2 linked regions of the Xenopus tropicalis genome follow. The protein of the gene in region 1 interacts with the protein of each later gene in a biochemical or structural test. Links are inferred from orthologs where the notes say so. Each region holds a gene or a part of one and is shown on either strand. Other genes may lie near its edges. The genes, in order: nmur1 and nmu.

What was found.
Region 2: the proteins of nmur1 (region 1) and nmu form a complex in vitro, tested with the Homo sapiens proteins (2 studies listed by BioGRID). The link is inferred for Xenopus tropicalis from reciprocal best matches to the Homo sapiens genes NMUR1 and NMU.

Annotation. Positions count from the first base shown.
Region 1 is NC_030681.2:100,931,516-100,935,165, forward strand, and holds the end of nmur1 (neuromedin-U receptor 1), read right to left. Parts: intron 1,401-3,650; coding exon 1,018-1,400; 3' UTR 832-1,017; downstream 1-831. UniProt on the Homo sapiens protein: Receptor for the neuromedin-U and neuromedin-S neuropeptides.
Region 2 is NC_030677.2:40,473,416-40,477,909, forward strand, and holds the start of nmu (neuromedin-U), read right to left. Parts: upstream 2,861-4,494; 5' UTR 2,729-2,860; coding exon 2,569-2,728; intron 1-2,568.

The sequences.
Region 1 (3,650 bases):
GGGTCTATGGATAATATAACCCATACACATACATAATGATAGAGATGGGGTGTATGGATTGACAGTTTTGTGATTTTGTGTTTATTCACTGGCTTGAGAAGTGAATTGGGCTGCTACTTAAATAGTTAAATGTAACAATTTATAAATCGTATGCTGTCTTCCTCATTGATTTTAATACATAGCACATTTGTCTGATGTCTGATGCTGCAGACTACACTGATTACCATGCTGACATGCAGATCATATTAACTCAACAACATTGTTTTGCTGTGTTAATAATTGTGACTACTGTCTTTTCAAATTGATTTTCCTGCTATTCAAACACAAACACAAACAAAATACATTTATTTAGAACAAACATTGTTATTTTTGCTAACATATTTGTTTGCTATAAATTTTTTCCGGGAACAGATTTGTTCATATATTGTTTAGATTCCACATTGCATTGTTAACCTCTATGGAATCTGCTTTGACATTTAACATGAACATGTGCAGGACTGTAGGGGTTTATGCTGGTAATCATTCCCAGTTATTTTGGCTTCTCTCTTTCCCCCACTACTATAAATTACCTCACAAATTTACAGTAATTTTTTAGACATAATGTATATGCTGGTTAGCCTCCCCCCATAGATATGTAGTGTACTTTTGTCATGGTCAAAAAGTGAAATTTTTGCCAGTCATGGATTTGCTGTGATATTCCACATTTCGCAAATTTTTTTTCGCAAAACTGATGCAAAAACTCACCACAACAAAAATCTGCTGAGTGAGGAAAAAGTCATGGTCGCTGCAAAAAAACAAAATTGTGCAGAAGCAATATTTTGCAAATCTTTTGCCGTTTCGCACATTTTTCAGCAGTTTTGCAACTGCAGTGTGAGACAAAACAGGACAGATTCACTCATCACTAAGTGCTATAGAAGGAAGAAAAGCACATGGTATGAAACAGGTGTGCAATGATCTACAGTATGCCAGATGTTGTATGCATGATATCAGGTAGTTTTGGTTAATATGGAAAATTGGCTAATTCTTTGCCACGTTATCACACTCTAAATATACAACAAACTCATCAACATCAGAGAATCGTAATCCATTTCCAGGGACATTTTCACACACTGTGCTGCGAGTGGTTACACGCGTGACACTTGGGGAAGACCTTCTGGAACCCAGCCTTTTTGTCCTTCCATGGCACATGACCTCCTTGAACATCTCACGGAATCGTGTGGACAGTAGGTTGTACAGGATAGGGTTAACCACAGAACTCAGGTAGAATAACACCCCAGAGATCACATGGACAAAGCTAAATATTTGGTGCATCACTTCTGTCCAGTCATTTATGAAACTCCACATCAGTCGTTCCGTGTGAAAGGGTGCCCAGCAGATCCCAAATACCACCACTAAGATAACTGCAGTGAAAAAAACAAACATTTGTGAACATCCACTTCACATTGATGTGTCTTTGTACAATTCTTCAAACAGATGCAGATTCATTATAATTACTGGTAACAACACTTTGCTGGGCATTCATAATCCAAAAGGGCCTGTAATACCAACAAGGCACAAATACACCAATATATACAGTAACCATGGGAACTGCATAAAAATGCCAGCAGGTTTGATATTTTCCTGCTGTTTTAAGCAACTATGTTTCCTGGAATGGAAAGACATGGCAGGCAAATCTCCTATGTGTACCAATGGTGTAAAGAGTCTATAAAGCCAATCTGCACCAAGGTATTGAGAAGGACATACAATGATCTCTGGAGCAATCGATGACACTTTCTAAGGATTTTGGCAGATCATTTTTTTCTTCTATTAGTATTTAGTGCATGATTAGAAGAAGGCAGCAGCAGTCAATGAAAAGAAATATTTAGAAATTATGCATTGAGTAAAATAATCGAAAACATATGGTAATAAGTATGGGTAAATTGTATGTAGAACAAGGTCCGTTGCTGTGAGCACTACAGCTTACATGGACCTACGCAAACAGAGATTTTACAAGAGCAGGGCCCATTCAGGGTGATGTTATAAATCATCTTAGAGGTCATTTATAAATACTGGGCAAATTCACATCTAGGCAGTAACCCATGGCAACCAATCAGATGCCTGCTTTCATTGTTCTACATGCAGCTGTTTGAAAAAATGACTGATAATTTGTTATGAATTACTGCCTAGGTGCAAAATTGCCTAGTGCTTATAAATGAGTCCCCTTGAGTTTGCCCTCATCTAGTAAACCATAGCAAATAATCAGATTTTTTTTGGTTAGTTGGTTAGTTGCTATGGGTTACTAGATGAGTAACACATTTGCATATATATGTATATAAATGTATATAAATTTTAAAAAGAGCATTTTATTGCCTTCAGTTTTAGATTCAGTTTAAGATTAACAGTCCATCTAAAAAAATTACATAAAACTGTTTATAATCACCAGTTATGACCAGACATGTGCATGAAAGATGTATATTTTCACTTTCAGTAGAGGCTGGTAAGCAACATAAGTATCGCACCATCTATTGTTTCTCTAAAAAGTAAAAACACACACTTATTTAATTGAATTGTTGTAAAGCTTGTTGGCACTACAAAAATAAATGATAATGAAATCAAATCTCTGATAGTGCTCAAGGTGTTAATATTTCCAAGATTTATTACTGTCGTCACTTCTGTTCATCCAGCTGGGATATTTCTCTCAGAACCAAGAGGCTGGGGATGGCTTCCTAATAAGGACAAAAACTGACAAAAAATTCCACAGATAAAAGAGGAGTGCAGCCATGGGCTGTCATAGTGAGAGAGGCCAGAGCTTCAAGCAGCAAGATACAAACATCACCTGGATGAATTGCAGGGTCTATAAGCCCAGATAAGTTGCTATCACTCAATGACAATGACAGTGCACAGCTTTCCGTATGGTAGCCACTCAGGAAGAGACAATCACTTTGCTTGCCGATATTTATAGGCTGGTTTTATAAGCTGGGTTGCAACATACGCAGTGCAGTGCTTAGCATTCATTAGATTCGTGTTTATTTCCTACAGGTTTGTTATGACATGTCTAGCTAAAATGCAGTGAGACTTAGTATAAAAGTCAAACTCATAACATAAGAATTCAGAGAAACAGATAGAATGCTGATGGACAGGAAAATGTTCATTTAAGCAAGGTGTGGTCTCATTTAAAGAAGTTTAAAGAAGACTGGTTTTCTTGACTAAAGCACTGTAAAGCAAAAAAAACTAATCCAAAATATCTACTGTTACTGAAATAATAAAATACATTCTATAATTCATAGAAACAGTTAGACCACTGGAACATAGGGTTAGGGTTGCCACCTTTCCAATTTTGAACAGCAAAGTTTTATCTTGGGCAGTCTGGTTTAAACGTTTATCTGGAGAAACCGGGGCAAAATTCTCCCAGTCTGGCCAATAGTCTTGTGCTCCTGATATCACCCCACCCTATTACATACCCTTAGCTCCCCTTAATTTCATCATCCCACCCAGAAAGGTGGCAATTTTAGATGTGCAAACCAACCCCTTGGATGTTGCTCCCAATGTCCCCAAAGCAGGTGCTTATTTTTCAGTTCCTGGCTTGGCAGCAAGTTTCAGTTGAATAAAAACAAGATGTACTACCAAACAAAGCCTCCTGTAAGCCTCCTGATAGTGTGCATAGAGGCTAC
Region 2 (4,494 bases), on another chromosome or scaffold:
GAAAGAAAAGAAGTTCAAAATCTGCATCCCTCCAGTTGCGGAACAAGTCCCAGAACTGTGAAAGCATGTCTGTAGTTCGCCAGCTGTCATTAAAATACAACCTTCCAGTATGGTGAAAGTATATCTGCTGCCCTCCAGCTGTAGTTAATGTACAAGTACAAGCAACTGATTCTGGGAGCTGTAGATCAACAAGTGCTAAGAAGATGTAGATTGGACATCCCTGTTTAACAAAAAATGACAGAGCTGGCAGCTCAGTGAGTAAACCCACAGTGTAGCAGCTGAATATGAACCCACAATACATCCCATACCTATTTTTGTCTATTTGTGATTAAACAGAATCATGCTTATTTAAATATATACTGCTTCCTCAATGCCCCCCTTTGAAAAATGCATAACAGGTACAGGTATGGGATCTGTTATCCAGAATGCTTGAGATCTGGGATATGCCCAAGTGCAAGGTACTGTTTTATTGTTACAAAGAGAAAGAAAACCATTTTTTACAATTTGAATTATTTGAAAAGGAGTCTATGGGAGATGGTGTTTCCATCATTTGGAGCTTTCTGGATAACAGGTTTCCAGATAATGGATCCCATACCTGTATATCATTAAGGTACTTTAAATTACTCTTATTTGGAAAAGCATGTCAGAAAACAGAGCTATAGGGGCATACAAGCATGGGATTCATTATCTGGAAACCTTTTATCCAGAAAGCACAAAATTACAGGAAGGTTATCTCCCACAGACACCTTTTTCATCAAATAACGCAACATTTTAAAACATATTCTCTTTTTCTCTGTAATAATAATAATAAAATGGTACTTGATCCCAAGTAAATAAATTCTTATTGTAGGCAAAACAAGCCTTTGGAGTTAATTTAATGTTTACATTTATTTTTAACTAGACTTAAAAGTACGGAGATCCAAATTATGTAAAGACCCCTAACCGTAAAACCCCAGGTCCCAAGCATTCTAGATAGCAGGTTCCATACCTATCCCTGTATGTCTATGCAATGTAATTTGTACAATACTTTAAATTTGTGGACGATAAGACACTTAAACAACCTCGGAAAATATAAAATCCAGGAAGCCAGACGCGGTTTGCTGTGACTGCAACGTCTTGGGCACAAGGGGGTTAAAATACAACCCTATTCTTAAACTGAAATGCTTCCACTTTTTCATATACACCGGTGCCCCATTTGGTGCAAAGTTTATTGTAGATTCAAACTGTAATTAGTTAATTTCATCTCTTGAGACATTAGTGAGAATGTATTCCCAAAGAGGACATTATTATTATTATTATTATTATTATTATTATTATTATTAAAACACACACTTCTATTGAATGAACAAAAAGGAATGTAAATCAAAAAGAGGGACAATATTAGTGACTAATTAGTGTCTGCCCACCATTGCTTCTAATAATTTCATTGTAACCATGTGTCCCTTGCCAGTTTCTTTAATGCATTGCATTTTAATGACCATAAGATGCAGAAACCAGATTATGGGCAAACACAGGAAAGAAGGTTTCTCCATGTGTTTATGTAGAGGTCAGAGGGTTGGACTGATTGCTAGCCATATATTACAACACCAAATGCCAGTAATGGTAGAGGACAATTTCATATACAAGTATGGGATCCATTATTCAGAAACCTGTCATCCAGAAAGCTTCAAATTATGGGAAGACCATTTCCCATAAACTACATTTTAATCAAATAATTCATCATTATAAAACAGATTTCCTTTTTCACTGTAATAATAAAACAGTACATTGTACTTGATCCCAACTAACATATCATTAATCCATATTAGGGGCAAATCAATGCTAAATGAGTTTATTTAATGTTTAAATCCTTTTTAGTAAACTAACACGTCGTGAACATTCTGTATAACAGGTCCCATTCCTGTACTATATCTCAATCAGAAACTGATAAGGAAATAATATTGCATGATGAAAAGTTGTTATAGTGAGAAAAAGTAAACAAGGAATATGAAAAATGTTAAATTCTGTCACAATGAGAATTTTCGCCTAAGATAAAATTACATTTCTAAGCAACTTTCCAGTATACATTATTTCAGTGGCTCTAACATTATTTGTAAATATAAGTGCTATTTAACGCTGTGTGTCCCTGTCTCTTCTCTGTCGTAGTGGTTCTGCCTTTTGAAACAATGTAGCAGTAGCCAGATGTTTTACAGACCTGCGAAGAAGCACGCACGGCTGAATTCTACTACATTGTTTCAAGAGACAGGACCAGCAGTGCAGATACAAACTGCTTTTATTTGCAGTTTTATCCATAATTAATGTATTCTATAAAATTGCTTGAAATTACATTTATTTTAATGTTTTTATGTTTCTATTAAAGTGTTTAAAGTGTTGCTTTCCAGCTTGGCTGAGCTTAAGCAGTCTTGAAAGGTTCTGTAGTTCAGACAGCTGAAATTGTGCATGATAAAGAGAAGTTATAGAGTGTTTAGCAGCACAGACATGGAACAAAGCATCAGTTGCTTGGCACAAAGCTGAGCCACACAGTACTTACACGTGTTGCTGATGTGAAGACTAAAAGAAATAGCTTACCTTTACAGCTGGCAGCCCAAGATACCAAGAGGATGGCAAAAAGCAGCCAGGAGGGAGGCTGCCATTTGAAGCTGTGCAGCTGGGGGCAACTCTGTGGTGTTCCTATATTGGCAGCATATTGCAGAGCAGGCAGTTTGTTGCACCGGTTTGGAGCCAGCATAACTTCCTAGCAAAGCTGTCCCTGTGCTGTAAGGAGGCTTGGCAGGGAGGAGGAAGATTTCCTTGTTACAGTGCTTGCTTGGAGTCCCTGCAATCTTCCCACCTGCCTGCAGTTATCACTGCTGCTCCTCTGGCTGCTCCGCACTTTTATAACCCAACCACAAGGCTGCAGATGAAGGTGGAGGAGCCCAGTCGCACAGTCAGAATGCGTCATTAGCAACTTCTCTCCCACACTCCTGCCTTCATCATGCTGTGTGCATCAGTGCCAGACCCAGCCATAGGCTTCCCTCTAATTACCAGCATCCTGACAAGTGCCTTTTGTTTCAACTATAAAATTTGGGTTTGTGGGTGCATTTTGTGGGGATTCAATTGTTAGCATTGGCGATCAACAAATAACACAACTGGGCTGTTATTCAGTCAAAGGAATAGTATTGGCTTTTTTAGTTAGTATCTAGAGTTTCTAGGGCAGTGATACCTAACCAGTGGCTCGGGGGCAACATGTTGCTCACCAACCCATTGAATGTTGCTCCCAGTGGCTTCTAAGCAGGTGCTTATTTTTGAATTTCTGACTGGAAGACCGGTTTCAGTTGTATAAAAACCTAGTGTAATGCCAGTCTACATGGGGGCTACCAAATAGCCAATCATAGCTTTTATTTGCCAACCCCCTGAACTATTGTGATGTTTGTGTTGCTCCCCAAAACTTTTGCCATTTGAATGTGGCTCACACGTATAAAAGGTTGGGGACTCCTGTTCTAGAGCTTTAACTTTTGGCCTATGTGAGCAATATAAATAGAAACCTTTTACCATTTGTATATATTAAATGGGAATTATTACCTTCTCAGTTGTAGGTGTTGGTAAAAGGTTTGGTTTAGTTTTCTTGTATTAATGACAGTTACAGATGTGCATACATTAACTTGCCATTAGTATTATGAATGCTTACTTCTGCAGACTGGTGAAATGATTGGAAATACTGTTCTCACTTATAAAGGTATGGTACACTGTACCTGTTATCCAGAATGCTTGGGACCTGGGGTTTTTCAGAAAAGGGCTCTTTCTTTAATTTTGATTTCCATACCTCAAATTTTCTTAAAAAAATCATTTCAATGTTAATTAAACCCAACTGGATTGTTTTGCCTCCAATGAGTTGGGATCAAGTACAATGTACTATTTTATAATTACAAAGAAAAAGGAAATCATTATTTGATTACAATGGAGTCTATGGGAGATGGATGTATTTCATTTTATTGGTACTTTCTATTTATTTACAAGGCTGCTGTGTATAGTAGGTTCCCATGGACAATTTAGAAGCACAATTTCTACTTTTTCTTACTTTTTGTTAAATTGGTGAGTTGCAAGTAATTATTTGATTACAATGTACTGTATGGGAGGTTTCCTTCCTGTAATTTTGAGCTTTCTGGATAACAGATCCTATACCTGTACATGCTGCAATATAAGAGACCAGGCCATTCTTTATACAGAATTGGGCTCTTCACCCAAAAACTAATAAGTAATTCTAAGCATCTTTCCATTATACATTCAGTACATTTTGTCATTGTTTGTTAATGCAATTGTAGTTTAAACCAGTGTTTGATCACCCCCTCTCTGGCTCTGTATTCTGGCTTTTGCCACATTGTTTCCAGGTTTAAGATTGTGCTGTGGGAAATACACGCTCCATAGCAACATTCTTTTTATCACAGAGCTCCCTTAACTTGTCCATTTAAGCAGCAGGGAAATAGGACCATTAGTTACATATACAGTATATACAGT